4 linked regions of the Oryctolagus cuniculus genome follow. Each later gene encodes a partner of the first gene's protein in a complex. Links are inferred from orthologs where the notes say so. Each region holds a gene or a part of one and is shown on either strand. Other genes may lie near its edges.

Evidence for each region.
Region 2: the proteins of RAD1 (region 1) and RHNO1 are in contact, whole or in part, in a crystal structure (PDB 6J8Y), measured with the Homo sapiens proteins. The link is inferred for Oryctolagus cuniculus from reciprocal best matches to the Homo sapiens genes RAD1 and RHNO1. Residues at the interface, in NP_002844.1 of Homo sapiens: Asn47, Gly48, Ile49, Lys50, Phe64, Ile65, Gln66, Ser149, Lys155, Ile157, Glu211, Ala212, Lys240, Val241, Ser242, Arg244, Gln254, Tyr255, Met256, Phe266, Glu268; in NP_001239428.1 of Homo sapiens: Ser55, Trp56, Val57, Ser58, Pro59, Asp60, Phe61, Asp62, Thr63.
Region 3: the proteins of RAD1 (region 1) and HUS1 are in contact, whole or in part, in a crystal structure (PDB 8GNN), measured with the Homo sapiens proteins. The link is inferred for Oryctolagus cuniculus from reciprocal best matches to the Homo sapiens genes RAD1 and HUS1. Residues at the interface, in NP_002844.1 of Homo sapiens: Asn85, Val88, Asp91, Cys92, Ser94, Ile95, Phe96, Gly97, Ser98, Gly127, Val128, Val129, Thr130, Val131, Cys132, Lys133, Ile134, Asn135, Gln137; in NP_004498.1 of Homo sapiens: Thr165, Ser168, Val169, Lys172, Met173, Asn175, Ile176, Glu197, Leu198, Val199, Cys200, Val201, Thr202, Thr203, His204, Phe205, Lys206.
Region 4: the proteins of RAD1 (region 1) and RAD9A are in contact, whole or in part, in a crystal structure (PDB 3GGR), measured with the Homo sapiens proteins. The link is inferred for Oryctolagus cuniculus from reciprocal best matches to the Homo sapiens genes RAD1 and RAD9A. Residues at the interface, in NP_002844.1 of Homo sapiens: Glu165, Ala166, Ser168, Glu169, Asn195, Ala196, Gly197, Ser198, Ser199, His200, Leu201, Asp202, Tyr203, Pro204, Asp206, Ser207, Glu211; in NP_004575.1 of Homo sapiens: Leu76, Ser82, Val83, Ser86, Leu90, Lys92, Leu112, Phe116, Gly117, Val118, Arg119, Lys120, Thr121, His122, Asn123, Leu124.

What each region holds. Positions count from the first base shown.
Region 1 is NC_091445.1:60,574,898-60,579,151, reverse strand, and holds the start of RAD1 (cell cycle checkpoint protein RAD1), read left to right. Parts: upstream 1-1,454; coding exon 1,455-1,652; intron 1,653-3,183; coding exon 3,184-3,292; intron 3,293-3,856; coding exon 3,857-4,115; intron 4,116-4,254. Other genes in the region: BRIX1 (ribosome biogenesis protein BRX1 homolog), read right to left, coding at 512-670. UniProt on the Homo sapiens protein: Component of the 9-1-1 cell-cycle checkpoint response complex that plays a major role in DNA repair. The 9-1-1 complex is recruited to DNA lesion upon damage by the RAD17-replication factor C (RFC) clamp loader complex.
Region 2 is NC_091440.1:106,446,525-106,450,633, forward strand, and holds the start of RHNO1 (RAD9, HUS1, RAD1-interacting nuclear orphan protein 1), read right to left. Parts: upstream 2,801-4,109; 5' UTR 2,673-2,800; intron 2,661-2,672; exon of another isoform or gene 2,152-2,660; intron 1-2,151. UniProt on the Homo sapiens protein: Involved in microhomology-mediated end-joining (MMEJ) DNA repair by promoting recruitment of polymerase theta (POLQ) to DNA damage sites during mitosis.
Region 3 is NC_091447.1:53,481,245-53,485,446, reverse strand, and holds the start of HUS1 (checkpoint protein HUS1), read left to right. Parts: upstream 1-1,402; 5' UTR 1,403-1,536; coding exon 1,537-1,588; intron 1,589-1,768; coding exon 1,769-2,073; intron 2,074-3,322; coding exon 3,323-3,430; intron 3,431-4,202. UniProt on the Homo sapiens protein: Component of the 9-1-1 cell-cycle checkpoint response complex that plays a major role in DNA repair. The 9-1-1 complex is recruited to DNA lesion upon damage by the RAD17-replication factor C (RFC) clamp loader complex.
Region 4 is NC_091432.1:4,711,957-4,715,982, forward strand, and holds the start of RAD9A (cell cycle checkpoint control protein RAD9A), read right to left. Parts: upstream 2,801-4,026; 5' UTR 2,565-2,800; intron 1-2,564. UniProt on the Homo sapiens protein: Component of the 9-1-1 cell-cycle checkpoint response complex that plays a major role in DNA repair. The 9-1-1 complex is recruited to DNA lesion upon damage by the RAD17-replication factor C (RFC) clamp loader complex.

The sequences.
Region 1 (4,254 bases):
AGAGGAAGCCTAACTGGACAGTCGCACACGGCTCCTTAGAAGCGTGTTTGGTGAGACAGCTATACGATCTAACGTATTTTTCACTATCCCTTCAGTTCAAGACCCAGATCAAGGCGTCAAAGGCCTCATCCCACGAACAACTTTCCAAAGGTTCCCAAGGCGAGCTTCAGGGTTCCCAAATGACACTGGCCGACCACGGCAGTACAGACCGAAACAACTTCGCAAAAACACACCCTCCAAAAGAGGTAGAAAAGAACAAGGAAAAGCCTATGGAAACACCTGAGCTGAGTTCTCCCCTACGCCGGGTAAGGAGGGTTCCAAAGCCCACCGCCTAAACGAGGACGGCGGCGCGTACGAGTTAGGTGCACACATCATGCACAAACCGTCCAAGAGCACTGCTGGGAACGGGTTCCCCCAACACCCCAGCTACTCCGAAAGGAAGAGAGATTTAGGGAGTCCCGGGGAAGGCGCGTGGAGCCGCCGCCGCCGGCGTAGCGGTAACCGCTTCTACCTTGCACACGGGGCCGGGGATACGGTCTCTGTTTTCTTCCTCCACCTCTTCTGTCGTGACGCCACTCTTTGCCTGCGGCCCGGCATCTCTGTCGTCTTTTTTCGGCTTCTTCGCCTGCACCGGCAACCCTCCACGCCGCTTCCTCTTGGTGGCCGCCATCTTGCCTCGACACCACTACTGGCTTTTCTTCCGGTTCCCCCCACTCCACCGCTCGCTCCACTTCCGGTCTCTATGGTACCGCACGCGCTCCTCTATGGCCCCTCCGTGGCTCTCTGGCGCTTACTTCCGGTCTCGATGATACCGCTCGCTCTCCTCTATGGCTCTTCCGCGACTCTCTGGCGCTTACTTCCGATCTCGGTGGTGCCGCCGTGCGACTCTCTAGGCCTCCTCCAGCTCTGTGGTGACGGTGGCCGAAGCGGAGAGCTGGTCTGAAGATAGTGGCGGGAGCTGAGCCGCCCGCTCCGTGGTATTCCGGGAGCTGCAGCTCTCCTGCTCGGTGTCCAGGCTGGGCCGGGCTCTCGGGTGTCTGGCCCCCTCTACAAGGGTAGGATTTCCGGCGCTCGCGATCCCGGCCCTAGGAAGCGGGTGCTGTCCCGCGGGCAGCTGAACTGGTTGTCTCGGACTCTGGGAGAAACTCATAGGACCCGAGCGCCCCCACCCCGGTTGCCTGTCGGGTTGCAAGCCAGGTTGGTGGCGCGAGGTGGCCCGAGCGGATCCGGGGATAAGTGGCGTGACTGGCCCCCTAGTGCACCTCCTTTGTGGGTTGCGTGTTTTCGTTCTAAGCTACTTTCCCCGTGTTACCGTCCGCACTGGGAAGACAAGAATCCCCCGCAGGGTCACAGTTACAGTGGCGCCTCGCCTGGCCCCTTCCACGTTATCTCCGACCCCCGGCAGGTGCTCTGAGATCCTCGGGAGCGGGTGTGGGCCCCAGGTGCCAGGCAGGATGCCGCTGCTCACCCAGCGGATCCAGGACGAGAGTGTCCAGTACAGCCTAGTGGCCAGCCTGGACAACGTCAGGAACCTCTCCACGATCCTGAAAGCCATTCACTTCCGCGAGCACGCCACCTGCTTCGCTACTAAGAATGGAATCCGAGTCACAGTGGAAAATGCGAAGTGTGTGCAAGCCAACGCTTTCATCCAGGTACGCAACGGGCGCCTTCCAGCCCGAGAAAGGTCTCAGTAGACAAGTTAAGTCTGAAAACAGAATGGCGTTTAAGGTGTCTTCTCTCCTGGAAACATTCTTTCCCCATCTTAACAGAGATAATGGTGAATAATGATAATGATTGACGTTTAGAAAGCTAAACCCTAGGCTAGCCAGTCCTCTAGGTGTTCGGCTCATCTGATCCTCACGGTAGCCCCACACCTTCTGTTGCTCCCGTTTTACGTATGTGCAAACAGTTAATCGATTTGCCAGCAGTCCCAACAGTTGAGATAAGAACCCCAAATGTTTGTTTCCAGACTATATGCTCTTTAGTAGCTATTTCCCTTTTAGAAAAATGCTTTTCCTTCTTTTGGCTGTAATAGAGTCTTACACGGAAATATTTGTATGGTTCAGAAAAGATTTTGGATTCTGCTCATTTTTTTTTTTAAGATTTATTTATTTGAAAGTCAGAGTTACACAGAGAGAGGAGAGGTGGCGGGGGGGGGGGGGGGGGGTGTCTTCCATCCACTGGTTCACTCCCCAGATGGCCACAACGGCCGGAGCTGCGCCGATCCGAAGCCAGGAGCCAGGAGCTTACTCCCGGTCTCCCACGTAGCTGCAGGAGTGCAAGGACCTGGGCCATCTTCTACTGCTTTCCCAGGCCATAGCAGAGAGCTGGATCAGAAGCGGAGCAGCCAGGTCTCGAACCGGTGCCCATATGGGATGCCGGCGCTGCAGGCCAGGGCGTTAACCCACTTCGCCACAGCTCCAGCCCCTCAGTTTTGTTTTGTTTTGTTTTGAAACACCCGAGTTCACAGTTATGACCCCAGGCATGGAAGAATAAATAAGACTTGATTCTTCTCAAAGAAACTGAAAACTAGTATCACACAATGCATTGTTAGATTGTTTTCCAAATGACCTTAGCCATACTGATGGGCACAAAAAAGGACAGTTTTACATGCAAGAACGGAGAGAGGGGCGGCTTTGTGGTATGGAGATCCTGGCGCCCCATATCTGTGTTGTTTCACGGCCAGGCCGCTCCACTTCTGATCCAGCTCCCTACTAATGGCCTGGGAAAGCACAAAGGTGGCCCAAGTGCTTGGGCCCCTGCCACCCACACAGGAAACTAGGAAGAAGCTCCTGGCCCCTGTCCCTGGCTTGGTTCAGCCCTGGCTGTTGCAGCCATCTGGGGAGTGAACCAGCATATGGAAACTCTTTCTCCATCTCTCTCCCTGTGTAACTCTGACTTTCAAATAAGTAAATCCTTACCAGGAAAAAAAAAAAAAAAACGGAGAGAAAGGACCCTTCACAAGGTTTTGCATGGGAGCTCCATTACTGTTGCATCTTCACTGAGCAGTAATGTTCTAATGGAAAACAGTTGACAAAACTAAGATGTTTTGATTGGTAGTTAGGTAACATCTCATGGGGTCAGCACAGTATAGTTATTTTTAAAACAGTGAAACCTAGAATCTTATATGTGAGTTTTCAGTCTTTAATATGTGTAACCATCTCTGTGCTTATCTTCTCTTAGGCTGGAATATTTCAAGAGTTCATAGTTCAGGAAGAGTCCATTACTTTTCGCATTAATTTAACTGTCCTTTTAGACTGCTTATCAATTTTTGGATCAAGTCCTACGCCAGGTAAACCATTTTATTATAAAGACACAACAGCATTATACAGAATGAGAATAATGCAGTGTTATTTAGCATAAAAGCATTTCTTTAAAAGAATTTCTTAAACCAGTTTCTTTGTCAGTGGTTACTCTTGTGGACCCTGACATTTTCGAGTGTCAAGTAAGAGTGTGTTTATAGGGCACTGGCAGTGCAGCACCACAGGTTAAGCTGCCACATCCCATAACGGAGTGCCAGAAAGCAATGTATTAAAACATGTATAAGCAGTAATAGTGGAATTGTCAGGATAAAACTAAAGTATATTATCTAGAGAACCATAGCTGAATTTCGCCTAATATCCAACTTGCTTTCCTACAAAATAAAATAATTCTTCTGGGGATTCCTATAGTTTTACATTTATGGTTACTGAATTCCTCCATTCCTAAAAATAATGCCCAAAAGAAATGAAAACATAACTTATAAACAGGATTTCTTAAGAATGCAAACAAATTTTGAATACAATAAATTGCTCCCAGAACTGGTTTCTGCTTTTCCCTGCCATTAACTAGCGGTGTGATTTCTTCACCATTTTAGGGACTCTAACTGCACTTCGGATGTGTTACCAGGGTTACGGCCACCCTTTGATGCTGTTTCTGGAAGAAGGCGGAGTGGTGACAGTCTGCAAGATCAATACTCAGGAGCCTGAGGATACTCTGGATTTTGATTTTTGCAGCACCAACGTTATTAATAAAATTATTCTGCAGTCAGAGGGACTCCGGGAGGCATTTTCCGAGTTGGATATGACAAGTGAGGTCCTACAGATCACCATGTCTCCTGAAAAGCCTTATTTCAGGTACTTGAGAGCAGTATAGTTATGGTTATTTGGTCTGTATGCTGTCTCCTCACTGAAGATGTAGAATTTTTATGGTCCAACTTAATAGAATTTTCAGAACTTCCGTAATTTTACAGCTCAAGAAACTTAAGACCCAAGA
Region 2 (4,109 bases), on another chromosome or scaffold:
CTGGCGCACCGCGCTGATCCGAAGCCAGGAGCCAGGTGCTTCCTCCTGGTCTCCCATGCGGGTGCAGGGCCCAAGCACCTGGGCCATCCTCCACTGCCTTCCCGGGCCACAGCAGAGAGCTGGACTGGAAGAGGAGCAACCGGGACAGAACCAGAGCCCCAACCGGGACTAGAACCCAGGGTGCTGGCGAGGCAGGTGGAGGATTAGCCTAGTGAGCCATGGTGCCGGCTCTAAGTAAATAAATCTTAAAAAGAGAGAGAGAAAAATAACAAACTTTGGGGAGAATGTGGAAATTCATGACTTGCTGAGGTCAACAGCCTCAAATGGGTGCTACATTGTTTGGCAATCTTGCTATTTCTTTAATCAGCTCATTCTCCACAAAGATTAAGCCTTTTTTTTTTTTTTTTTAAAGCAATCTATGTCTATGACAGAGCAGGACAGAAAGATCCCATCTACTGGTCCACTTCTGAAATGCTTGCAATAGCTAGAGGCCCAGCGATGGGAGCTGGGAACTCAGAGCAGTTCTCCCCCATGAGTGGCAGGGGCCCCGTTACGTGAGCCATCACTGCTGCCTCCCAGGATCCTCACTGGCAGGAAGCCAGAGCCAGGTGTCCAACCCAGGCACTACAATGAAGGACACAGGTGCCTCAACAGGGGCCTAACTGGCGGGCCAAAGGCCTGCCCCTCCGTGTTCTTTTCCATTTAAAGATTTGTTTATTTATTTGAAAGGCAGAGTTACAGAGAGGCAGAGAGAGAGAGAGAGGGGGGCAGAGAGATCTTCCTTCCACTGGTTCACTCCCCAAATTGTTTCAATGGCCAGAGCTGTGCTGATCTGAAGCCAGGAGCCAGGAGTTCTTCTGCGTCTCCCACGTGGATGCAGGGGCCTAAGCACCTGGGCCATCTTCTTCTGCTTTCCCAGGCGCATTAGCAGAGAGCTTGATCAGAAGTGGAGCAGCCAGGACTAGAACTGGTGCCCGTATGAGATGCCAGCACTACAGGCGGTGGCTTTACCCGCTATGCCGCAGCGCTGGCCTCTCCACGTTCTTAAAACCTCAGAAATGACATTACTTCCTACTTCACAAAAAATACAGATGACATCAAAGGAAATGCTGGGATTTTGCAGAAAGCAAACATACACGCCTACATAAATCTGTAGCCATCCTCTTCCCTTGTGGTCTAATCAGAAGTCAGCCCTTTCTGTTCCCCCCGGCTGGGCTCTGACCTGGTTCTCACTCTATGCTCTTAGGCAATGTCCTCTGCTCACACTTCAACAACCACCTAGAGGTAGACGACCTCAGCACTACCTCTTCAGCTTAAAACTCTAAGCTCTGCACTCAGATGTCCTGCTGCCTGCTGAACAGCAACTAGATGTCGCAAGCGCGCCTCCAATTCCGCACTAACATTTACAACTGAACCATGGTTCCCCCAGCACCTCCCACCCCTAACCCCGGCCAAAGTGATTATGCTGGGGCAGAGGGGGGACTTGCTCAAGGGACAGCATCATCAGTCCTCCAGTTAGGCAGCCAGAAACCTTGACACTCCCCTCCCTGCTCCCCACCCAACACCAAGCCTGCAGATTTCTCTCTTAAATATGTCTCTTTCTGACTGCTCTCTCCTTCTCCGTTCTCTTTTCTCTCCCCATTGCCCTTCTTCAGATTCCAACGCGTCTAGAACAGCAATGGCCTAACAGGTCTACCCTAATCCCCTCTGGTGCCTCTCTCTTAAAAATGCAAATCCGATCTTGGGTCTCTCCTACTTAAAAGCTGTTGATTGGCTTCCTCTGCTTCTCGGGTCAGAACAAAATTCCTCAGCACGGCGAAGGCCCTACCTCTTCTGGCTGCAGCTTCGACTCACACCACAATCCGTCCTAGTCTCTTAGCTCAGACCCGGATATTCCTAAGCCTTTGATTCCTCCCGCCGGGCATCGTCTTTGCACACATTATTCCCCTCTTCTACTCAAGAAAGCGTCTCTCCTTTCTCTGCAAAAGGCGGCAGGGCTCACAGCACGGTGCAGTTCATCCGAAAGGCCCTGCCTGTCCTACCTAAGAGTGCACTGATGACGAGGAGCGGGAGGATGCTTTCATTCTAAGTTTATTTGACTCTTGCAAAAACATCCATACTCCCGTCCCCCCAGCCCCTCCATTAACCTACAAGTTCAGGAGAAGCAAAAGACCTTGTCTTTCATCCTAGCAGGGAGCTGCAAAAGGTCCACGGACGATTCGCATTTATCTTTCCATTTCATTTCTCCACGAACTTCTGCAGCTCCTCGGTACCTTCGGGGCCTGCCCGTGCCCGCCCATGGTGGCTGCAGAATGCGTCTCCGGTCTCTTCCAGGTAAGGCCGGGCTGCGAGAGGGAGTGGGGCGGACCGGGGGTCGCAGGCAGGCAAAATCCAAGCCAAGGGCGGGTGGACCGCGGCGAGGGGGCGGGGGGCGCACGCTGCACCCCACCCCCCAGAGGGCTCCTGCAGCAGACGGAGGTCCACTGGACGACCCCGGAGAACGACTTTGCTCAGGAGGGAAATCCGCGGCCACAGCGCTCCAAGGCCGTCGTGAGGAAGCAGGGGGCGATCGCCACCACCCCGCGCCCCAGAGCCGCGCCCCTCTCCCCAGGCGGCTCCTCCTCCGCCCCGTCCGGCGCCGGGGCCCCACTAGCCCGCCGCGGCCGCCTTACCTCCCCGCCGCGCCAGGCCGCCGTGGCTGCTGCTGCCGGGCGCCCACGTTCGAGCCGGAACGCCGAGACAAGCCTGCGCCCATTGGCGGCGCCGCGTCACGTGACCGCAACGTAACCGCAACGCTCCGCCGGCGCCAATTTCAAACAGCGGAACAAACTGAAAGCTCCGGTGCCCGACCGCATCCCCGGCCCCGGCCCGGGACCCCCCCTCCCCTCCCGGGAACCCCCGGGGCTCCCGCCCCTCCCGCGCGTCCGGGACCCGGCCGGCCGGGTGCGAGTCCCTGTCGGGGGCCCTGGCTCGGCCCCAGGTTGGAGGAGGCACAGCCCTGCAGCAGCGGCGGCGGCGGTGCTACAGTCTGGAGGTGAGCGGGGAGCGGCCATGGAGTCCCAGGCCCGGCCGGGGCGGAGGCGGGGAGCCGGGGCTCGGGCGCCGAGCGCAGGGCGCGGGACGCGCGAGTGGAAGTTTTGGGGCCGCTTGGGAAGGAGGTCTGAGCGAACGTGCACATTTTTTTCTGCGTCTAGCTCCTGGCCTTGGCCTTGTCTCTCCCGTCTCCCAAAGCACCCCTTGGCCTTGCCTGCAAGTTTCACCTTTGCACGCTGTCCACAGGCCAAGGAAGGCCTGGATGGCCTGCTTGCTCAGCGTCCACTGTGCCAGGCACGGAGACAGACCTTGTTCTTCATGGAGTGCGAGACCAGCCCGCACACATGCACCCCTGCTCCCGGGCGCTCTCACCATTGCGCAACACTGTCTCCAGCCTACCCCTGCATTCCTAGGCTGTGTCAGGGTCCCCCTGCTGAGGATTGGCACGGGGTCAGAGGAGTCACTCTGGAAGTTTTCCGGCTGGAAGGTTGACAGTAACAGAGAGGCCTGTCAGATAGGAGAGAGAGAGAAGGAGAGATTAAATATCCAGTGGACTAGAGGAATAGTGTCTAGTGAGGTGCATGCCAGAAGGAGGGAAGCCTGGAGGGATGTGAGGTGGAATCACAGCCGAGATTTGAAAGTAGAGGAAGCCTAGATATACAGGAAAGAGGGACAGTAGGGTAGGGAGCGCCTGCGACCTCTGAGCAGGTGGCAAATGTCACAGAATATGTGGTCCTTTTGTAGGGCGATGGAAGGTTTTGTAAAAGAGCCAATTCTGTCTTTGAAAGTACCTTGAAGTAGAATTATACGACTTGACTTACTGGCAGAGTATTCCAAGTATTTGTTAGACTCAACAAAGCACTCTTTTAAAGCCGAAACTACATTCCTCAGATTTCACAACCACCTTAGCACGTTGAGGGTAGCGCATTCTTGTAGTCAGGAGATAGGGGTTCCAAGTCTTGGTCCTGTAAAGGGGATTAAGCAGTAGTATATGTAGGAAGTTAAAGTATGTGTTTAAGCACATGCAAGAACAGAATTGTCATGATGCAAATATTTTGTAAGTTGTGAAAGAAAAT
Region 3 (4,202 bases), on another chromosome or scaffold:
TCACCCTGTCGGGGTGGGAACTGGCCTAATGAGGGGCGGCCTGATGGGGGAGACTGGCCTGATGGGAGGGGGTAGGCCTGATGGGGGGCAGTCAGATTGATAGGGGGGAAGCGGCCTGATGGGGGAGAAGTGCTGTGATGGGGGGAACCAGTCTGGTGTGGGGGAGAGACGGGCCTGATGGGGGGGAGCCAGCCTGATAGGGGGGAAGTGGCCTGATGGGGGGACTGGCCTGATGGGGGGGAAGTGCCCTGATGGTGGGGGACCGGCCTGATTGTGGGGGGGGTGGGAACAGGTCTGATGAGGGGAAGCACCCTGATGGGGGGGATCGGCCTTTTGTGGGGGGAAACTGGGGGAGTCCCCTATCTGAAGGGGGGAGTCACCCTATCTCCCTGACTGGGGGGATCGCCCTGATGGGGGAGGGGGGATCACTGAGCTGGAGAGGCAAGCGGTCTGCGGGAGGGGTGGGATCACCATGACGGGGGAGGGGGGGGCGGTAATCGCCCTGACTGGGGGGTGGTGATGAGGAAGGAATCCCTTGACGGGGGTGGGAGGGGTGATGACGGAGAAGGAATCGGCCTGACCTCCCCCAGACGGAGAGGTTACCGGCCTGACGGGGGCGGGGAGCGGCAGGACCCCGGCCCCCGGCACCCCGGGTCCCAGTCACCACGCCGCTCCCAGCCCGAGGTTCGGGGCCGCCGCTCTGGGGCGGTACTTCCTCTAATGCTTTACGAGGGCTTAGTTTCATCTGGATATTCTCAAGATCCGGACACCCGCGTCACGACGTCCTGGGGGCAGACCCCCCACCCCTGCCCCGCACGCGGCAGTCCCCATCCGGGGCCCGACTAGGGCCCACCCCTCTAGGGGCGTGGCCAGGTCCCTCCTCCCTCGGGGCGTGGTCAGGGGCCCCGCCTCCCCGGGGCGGCATCAAGAGGCCTCGCCTTCCCCGGAGCGGCATCAGGAGGCCCCGCCTCTCCCTGGGCGTGGCTAGGTCCCTCCTCCCCCGGGGCGGGCTCAGGAAGCCCCGCCTCCCCGGAGCGGCATCAGGAGGCCCTGCCTCTCCCTGGGCGTGGCTAGGTCCCTCCTCCCCCGGGGCGGGCTCAGGAGGCCCCGCCTTCCCCGGAGCGGGCTCAGGAGACCCCGCCTCCTCGGGGCGTGGCCAGGTCCCTCCTCCCTGGGGGCTTGGTCAGGGGCCCCGCCTCCCCGGGGCGGCATCAAGAGGCCCCGCCTTCCCCGGAGCGGCATCAGGAGGCCCCGCCTCTCCCCGGGCGTGGCCAGGTCCCTCTTCCCCCGGGGCGGGCTCAGGAGGCCCCGCCTCTCCCTGGGCGTGGCCAGGCCCCTCCTCCCTGGGGGCGGGCTCAGGACGCCCCGCCTCTCCCTGGGCGTGGCCAGGCCCCTCCTCCCTGGGGGCGGGCTCAGGACGCCCCGGCAAGGCCTCAGGCGGGAGCCGGCGGAACCACTCTGCGCAGCCGCGTTTCCGGGCCGGGCCGCTCGAGGCGGGACGCGTGTCCGCCGCCGACCGCGCTCCCCGGCGCCGACATGAAGTTCCGGGCCAAGATCGTGGACGCGGGCTGCCTGAACCACTTCACCCGTGAGCGGGGCGCGGGCCGGGGCGGGCAGGGCGCGCTCGGGGCGAGGCGGGCGCCCGGGGCGTCTCCGGAGCTCGTCCCCCGCGGCGGGCCGGCGCGGGAAGCGGGAAGCGGGCCGGGGCGCTGAGGGCCGGGGCCGGCGCGCCGCGCGACTCTGTCTCCGTGCCCGCTTCCCGCCGCAGGCGTCAGCAACATGGTAGCCAAGCTGGCCAAGACGTGCGCGCTGCGCATCAGCCCGGACAAGCTCAACTTCATCCTGTCGGACAAGCTGGCGGGCGGCGGCGCGAGCCTGTGGTGCGAGCTGCAGCAGGAGGACTTCTTCAGCGAGTTTCAGATGGAGGGCGTCTCCGCGGACAACAACGAGATCTACCTGGAGCTGACGTCCGAAAACCTCGCCCGGGCCCTGAAGACGGCGCAGAACGCCCGGGCCCTGAAGGTCAAGCTCACCAACAGGCACTTCCCGTGCCTCACCGTCTCGGTGGAGCTGGTGAGCGGCGGGCGGCCCGCGGGGGGCTCATTTCCAGTCGCACGGAGTCCAGGCAGCCCCCGCCCTTGGCAGCCGGTGGAACCCGCGCCGCCCCGGCCCCCGTGAGTCTGGGAGTGGTGGCCGCGCTGGTGCTGGGGATGCCAGTGCCGGTGCGAGTGCCAGCTCGGCCTCCTGCGCCCTGCTGGTGCACCCCTGGGGAGGCAGGTGACGGCTGGCCCCGCCCTGGGCCCCTGCCACCCAGCCCCCAGCTCCCGGCTTCTGCCTGCCCAGTCCCGGCTGTCCGGGGCATTTGGAGAGGGAACTGGCACACGGGACGTCTCTGTCTCCGCTGCTCTGCCTTCCAAATAAATAGAAATTGAATCAAAGACAGCCGTTTCTGTCCGTCTTCCCCTTAGCCGTGCTCTCCCAGGCCGTCTGCGGGCAGTGGCTTCCTCTCATTTTGCTGCCGCGAGTCAGCCCACGCAGGGCCCCTCGGTGGCTCCCGTTTCCTCACAAGGCCTTCAGGGCCCAGTCAGACACCACCGCGGCCCAGTGCTGCAGCTCGCCGACTCGCTGACTCACGGGCTGAGTCCTTCTTGGGCATGGCGGCCGCCTCCCCCGCCCCGTCCCCGCGTCTTCTCTGCGTGTCTCACTCTACAACCTGCGGTGACGATGGTGTTCAGCCCCAGCTCTGTGGAAGACGACTCCTCAGCTCTCTGCAGCGGGCCGGTACTCACGGCCTGGCTGGAGCCCCTCAGAGCCCCTCGCCACAGATCTGGATGGTTGAAGCTTCCAGCAGAGGATGAGCCGCGGGAGCTGAGCGGCTTCCCCGTGGCTTCCCCGCGGCAGGCAGCGTTGCGTCTGCCCCGCGCTCTGCTGGGCTGTTTTCTGGAGTGCTGTCTGGGGCGCGGCCCCTCGCCCGGTGCCGCCAGCCCGGCTGCCTCTGCTGGCCTTGGCAGCATCTGCGGGTGACCTCCCAGTCTGAGCAGCCTCCCTCGGGCTCTGCCTAGTCTCGCTCCTGCGTTTCCTTCCAGGCTGTATCGAGCACCTCGTGCCGTCTTGCCGTTTTTTTGTGTCCCGGTTCTGCCGGAACATCAGGGCCCGCTTCCCAGGTGCCGGCAGAACGGTGCTCCCTCGGCCTGGCTGAGTGGGTTTTGAGAGAATGTACTGACAGCATTCGGCTTCCCTCAGATAGTTCAACTTTTTGGTCCTCAGTAACTTGGCTTTTTAGCACGGATAGCAGAACCATTTTTAATTCTTGTCTTTCCAGATATCCGTGTCAAGCAGCAGTCGCATCGTGACGCACGACATCCCCATAAAGGTCATCCCTAGGAGACTGTGGAGGGACTTCCGGGAGCCCTGCATCCCAGATTCCGACGTAAGTGCTGTCTGCGGGCTCGCCCCTCGGGGCACATGAAGGGCGGGGTTTGAATTCTGTGGTTTTGATTGATCTTAGGGTGCGTTCATGTTTGTTTTAGAGTTGTGTAGGGCCTGAAGAGAAAGTGGCATTCATTTTTAGGGCTGTTCAAGGAGAAATCTGAGTCATGCCTTTGTTATTTGCAAAAAAGATCTTGAGAGACGATCGCGTCTGATGGACGTGCCATGCTCTCAGTGACAGCACCGGGACAGGCCTGAAGCGGCACCGAGTGGTCAGCTCGGGTCTCTGAGGACCCGAGTCCCGCGACCCAGCCGTCTGGATGTGTGTCACAGAGCCGGGAGGAGGGCGTGATCGTGACCGAGCGCCGTGGAGAGTAAAGACGATGCCCAAGGGCCTGGCCTCCTGCTCACCGTTTGCTGCAGAAGAAATTCAACGCTGTGCTGGACAGATGATCACTGGGCTCCGCCGAGGGCCGCCTGGACTTGGGAAAAGGCAGCGTTGGATGAAGCACACGGGTGACGTGGCCTCGGGGTGGCGCAGTGACTGCTCCCTGTCGTGCACAGAGCTCGGAAGAGGCCCCGCTGAGCGCCGCCGTCCTTCTTAGGTGCTTAGGGACAAGCCGCCCAGGGGGGCAGAGCAGGCATGCCGTGCTCCAGTTTTGTTTCATTGCTGTGAGTTAATGAAATTAGAAAAACGGGTCCCCTGTGTTTTGAAGAGCTTCATTCAGATCATTTAAAAGCAGGACGCAAGCGTGCGTGCATTCCAGAGTCAG
Region 4 (4,026 bases), on another chromosome or scaffold:
GATTCGCATGCGTTCCTACAGCCGTGTGAGCAGCCTGTCTTACGTAAACACTGCAACTCAACAGCCAGCCATCTCTGAAGCACACGGGTGAGTGCGCCCATCCCCCGCGGAGCGCAATGACGAGAGTGCCTTCTCTACTACGTGCTCCGGCCGTTGCAGCCATCTGGGGAGTGAACCAGCGGATGGAAGACCTCTCTCTCTCTGCCTCTGCCTCTCTGTAACTCTGCCTTTCAAATAAATCTTTAAAAACATCAATAAAAGAGAAGGAAAAAAAAGATATCTTCCATCCACTGGTTCACTCCCCAAATGGCCGTAACAGCCAGGGCTGGGCCAGGCCGAAGCCAGGCGCTTCATCTGGGTCTCCCACATGGGTGCCGGGGCCCAGTGATGGAAGCCATCCTCGGCTGCTTTCCCAGGCGCACCAGCAGGGAGCTGGATTGGAAGTGGAGCAGCCGGGACTTGAACCGCTGCCCATATGGGATGCGGGCACCACAGCTGGCAGCTTCACGAGCTATGCCACAGCCCTGGCCCCTAAGGAATTTATTTTTTAATGATCAGAAATGATAGCCAGGACTTGAGAAGAACTTACAACATGCAGGCCCTGAACTAAAACCTGACACTGGGGCAGGCACTGTGGTACAGCGTGGGAAAACTGCATCCCACATCCGGGTGCCAGCACAGTTCCCAGCCACCAGCTTCCTGCTACTGCATCCTGGGGGGAACCGGATGATGGCCCAGGCTTGGGCCCCGCCCCCCACGGGAGACTCAGACGGAGGTCCTGACTCCCAGCTACCCCCTGACTCAGCCCCAGCAGTTGTAGGCACTTAGGGGTGAACCAGCAGATGGAATCTCTCTCTCTCCCTTTCTCTCCGTCTTTGACATACAATCTTTCTTTTTTCCCCAAAGAAACCTTTTATTTAAGGAACACAAACTTCATAAGGACAACTTCAGCCCTCCTGCGCCTCCTCCTCCCTCTCCCATCCCAGCCCCGTTCTCCATTAAGATTCATTGTCAATTACCTTTGTACACAGAAGACCAACTCTATACCAAGTAAAGATTTCAACAGTTTGCACACACACAGAGAAGAAGTCGTACAGTTAACTCTTGTAACACAGCTCACTGAGGACAGAGGTCCTGCACCGGAGTTAGTGCACAGTGACTCCTGTTGCTGATTCGACAATTAACACTCAGACTACATCGAATCTTGACAGTCGGCCATTGCGGCACAGCTGGCCAAGCCGCTGACTGGGACGCCGCACCAGTTCCATTCCGGGCTACGCAGCCTCGGACCCAGTTCCCCAATGCACCGAGAAGCAGAAGACGGCCCGAGCACTCGTTCCCACCACCCAGGTAGGAGAGCAGGACGGATTCCTGCCCCCCGCCTCGCCGGGCCTGGCGGTGACCCAGCGTCCGAATGGAATCGAAGATCTCTGTCACTCTGCCTTTCAAATAAACGCGTATTCTTTTCTGAAAAAAACGCACACGAATATTTTCATTTAATCCTCACGACGGGAGGCGGTCCTATCCTAATCCTCATTTCTGCACGTGAGGAAACAGGGTCCAGAGATATAAAGACTGGACTCAACAAAGTCACAACCCGGGGCCCCGCCGGCTTAGGCCACGGCCTGCAAGGCCAGAATCCCACGTGGCTGCTGGTCCGCTTCCGTCCAGCCTGGGGGAGCTGCAGGTGAGGCCCAAGTCCCTGCCACTCACATGGGAGACTCGGATGGAGCTCCAGGGTCCCTCGGCCAGGCCCAGCCCGCTGTAACCATTTAGGGAGTGACCTAGGAGACGGAAGACCCACGGCTCTCCCTCCGCCCCGCCCCGCCCCACTGTAACTCCGCCTGTTTTTAACTCCGCCTTTTTTTTTTTTTTTTTTTTTTTTTTTTTGACAGGCAGAGTGGACAGTGAGAGAGAGACAGAGAGAAAGGTCTTCCTTTGCCGTTGGTTCACCCTCCAATGGCCGCCGCGGCCGGCGCACCGCGCTGATCCGATGGCAGGAGCCAGGTGCTTCTCCTGGTCTCCCATGGGGTGCAGTGCCCAAGCACCTGGGCCATCCTCCACTGCACTCCCGGGCCACAGCAGAGAGCTGGCCTGGAAGAGGGGCAACCGGGACAGAATCCGGCGCCCCGACCGGGACTAGAACCCAGTGTGCCGGGGCCGCAAGGCGGAGGATTAGCCTAGTGAGCCGCGGCGCCGGACTCAAATAAATCTTTTTAAAAAGTGACGAACCCGAGTTTCTCTGTTCTGGCTCAAAACCCGCCAGTTCCCGGTCTCTCTCGCTGCGCAGACGAGCACGCGACCTGCTTCACCCAGGCCAGCGACAGAGCCGTCCTCCGGTGCCACGGAGCCAGGCGCTGCTCCGCGACGGAATCGCAGCGGGGACCCGAATCCCAGCGCAAGCCCTCGCCCCTGAAGGCCAGAGGCGCCGCGAGCCGCCCCGGCCCCGGACGCAGCCAAGGCAGAGCCGCGTCCAGCCCCGGGCGCGCTCGCGGCCCGGCCGAGGCTTCCTCCACTCACGCGCGGCGCGAACCGTCCCTGCAGCGGCCGGCGCCCGCCAGTACCTGTCCGCGGCCGCGCAGGTCCTCGGCCGCAGGGGACAACGCGCTGACCACAGCCGGACGCCGGCCTCGCCGACCCCGGCCGACCCCTTCGCCTCAGCGCGCCGAAGCCCCCGGGGCGCTCGGACGCCGGGACACCAGCAAGAACTTGGGGAGGGCTGGTGCCGGCAGGCGGGGCCGCCCTGGCCCCGTCCGCTCCAGCCGCTACTTTGTCCCCTCAACCGCCTGCAGACCCCACGCCAACGGCGGAGGAACCCCTGCCCGCGCCGTCGAGGGAAGCGACCCGAACGCTGGAAGCCAGGTTCCCATGGAAACCAGCGGGGCCTTTTGCGCATGCTCGGAAGCGCTAGGCACGCTGGGAAGTGTGGTTTCCGGGTTGTCCCCGGGAGGCCCTAGGAACCGACGCAAGATGGCGCCCGAGTTTCGCCGAGTGCGTCCCGCGGCCGTCGGGCGAGGCCGGCTTGGGAGAGGCCGCGGAGGCCTGAAAGGTAGCTTCTCTGGGCAGCCGCGGCTCTAAGGCGTCTGAGGTGCGGGGCGAAGCGGCAGAGGCGCTGGACCCAGGGAGGACGGTGTGAAGATGGGCGCTGCGCCGGGACGGACCGGCTGCCCGCGGGACGGGACGGGAACTCTGCCAAGGAGACCCCGGGAGCTGGGGGCGTCCCGCCCCTCCCTGCGCCCAAGGCCAGCCCCGGGGACAGCTGTGCGGTCAGCGAGCCGACTGGCCAGGAGCCACCCTTCGCACCCCGGAACTGCGCATCTGGAAACCTCGGGTGCGGCTCAGGCTCTGCTAGACGCGGCCGCCACTTCGGCAGCTTGACCGCCTCCCGGGAAGGCAGTGGTCAGCCTGAAGCCTGCCCGTCTGCTCCCGCCGAGTTGCAAGGTGACCACAGCGCGTGGAGGCCGGAGGCCTTTGGAGGGTTGTAGCCGGGCATCCCCGTTCCCTGCGACGGGAGGCTGAGCAACAGTGGCGCTGAGTTAAAAATGCTGCAGCCCTCGCTCGGCAGTTGTCGACAGAGGCACGCAGAGGTAGGGTGCCCGTGCGCCTCGGGAAGTGTTCCCTGGGCCGGAGCAACAGGAAGGCCCATGAATAGTGACTGTGCGTCAGCGGAGGGCCAGTGAAACCGACGCTGGGCTTTTTGTAAGGATCTGTTCACTCGTTCGTTTATTCAGAAGGCAGAGTGACAGAGAGAGAGAGAGAGGGAGAGAGAGAGGCCTTCCATCCACTGGGTCACTCCCCAGACGCCTGCCTAGCCAGGGGCCGGGAGCCCCATCCGGCCTTCCCACCGGGCTGGCAGGGGCTCAAGCTCCGGAACCTTCCCGTGCCACGGGTGCGCATTCGCGAAGCTGACTCAAGCAGAGCTGGGACTTGAACCCAGGGATCCTTGTCTGGGACGTGGGTGCCCCACGTGGGCTCGTGGTTTTTCGTTTGTTTTTTGGTTTTTTTTTTTTTTTAAGATTTATTTTT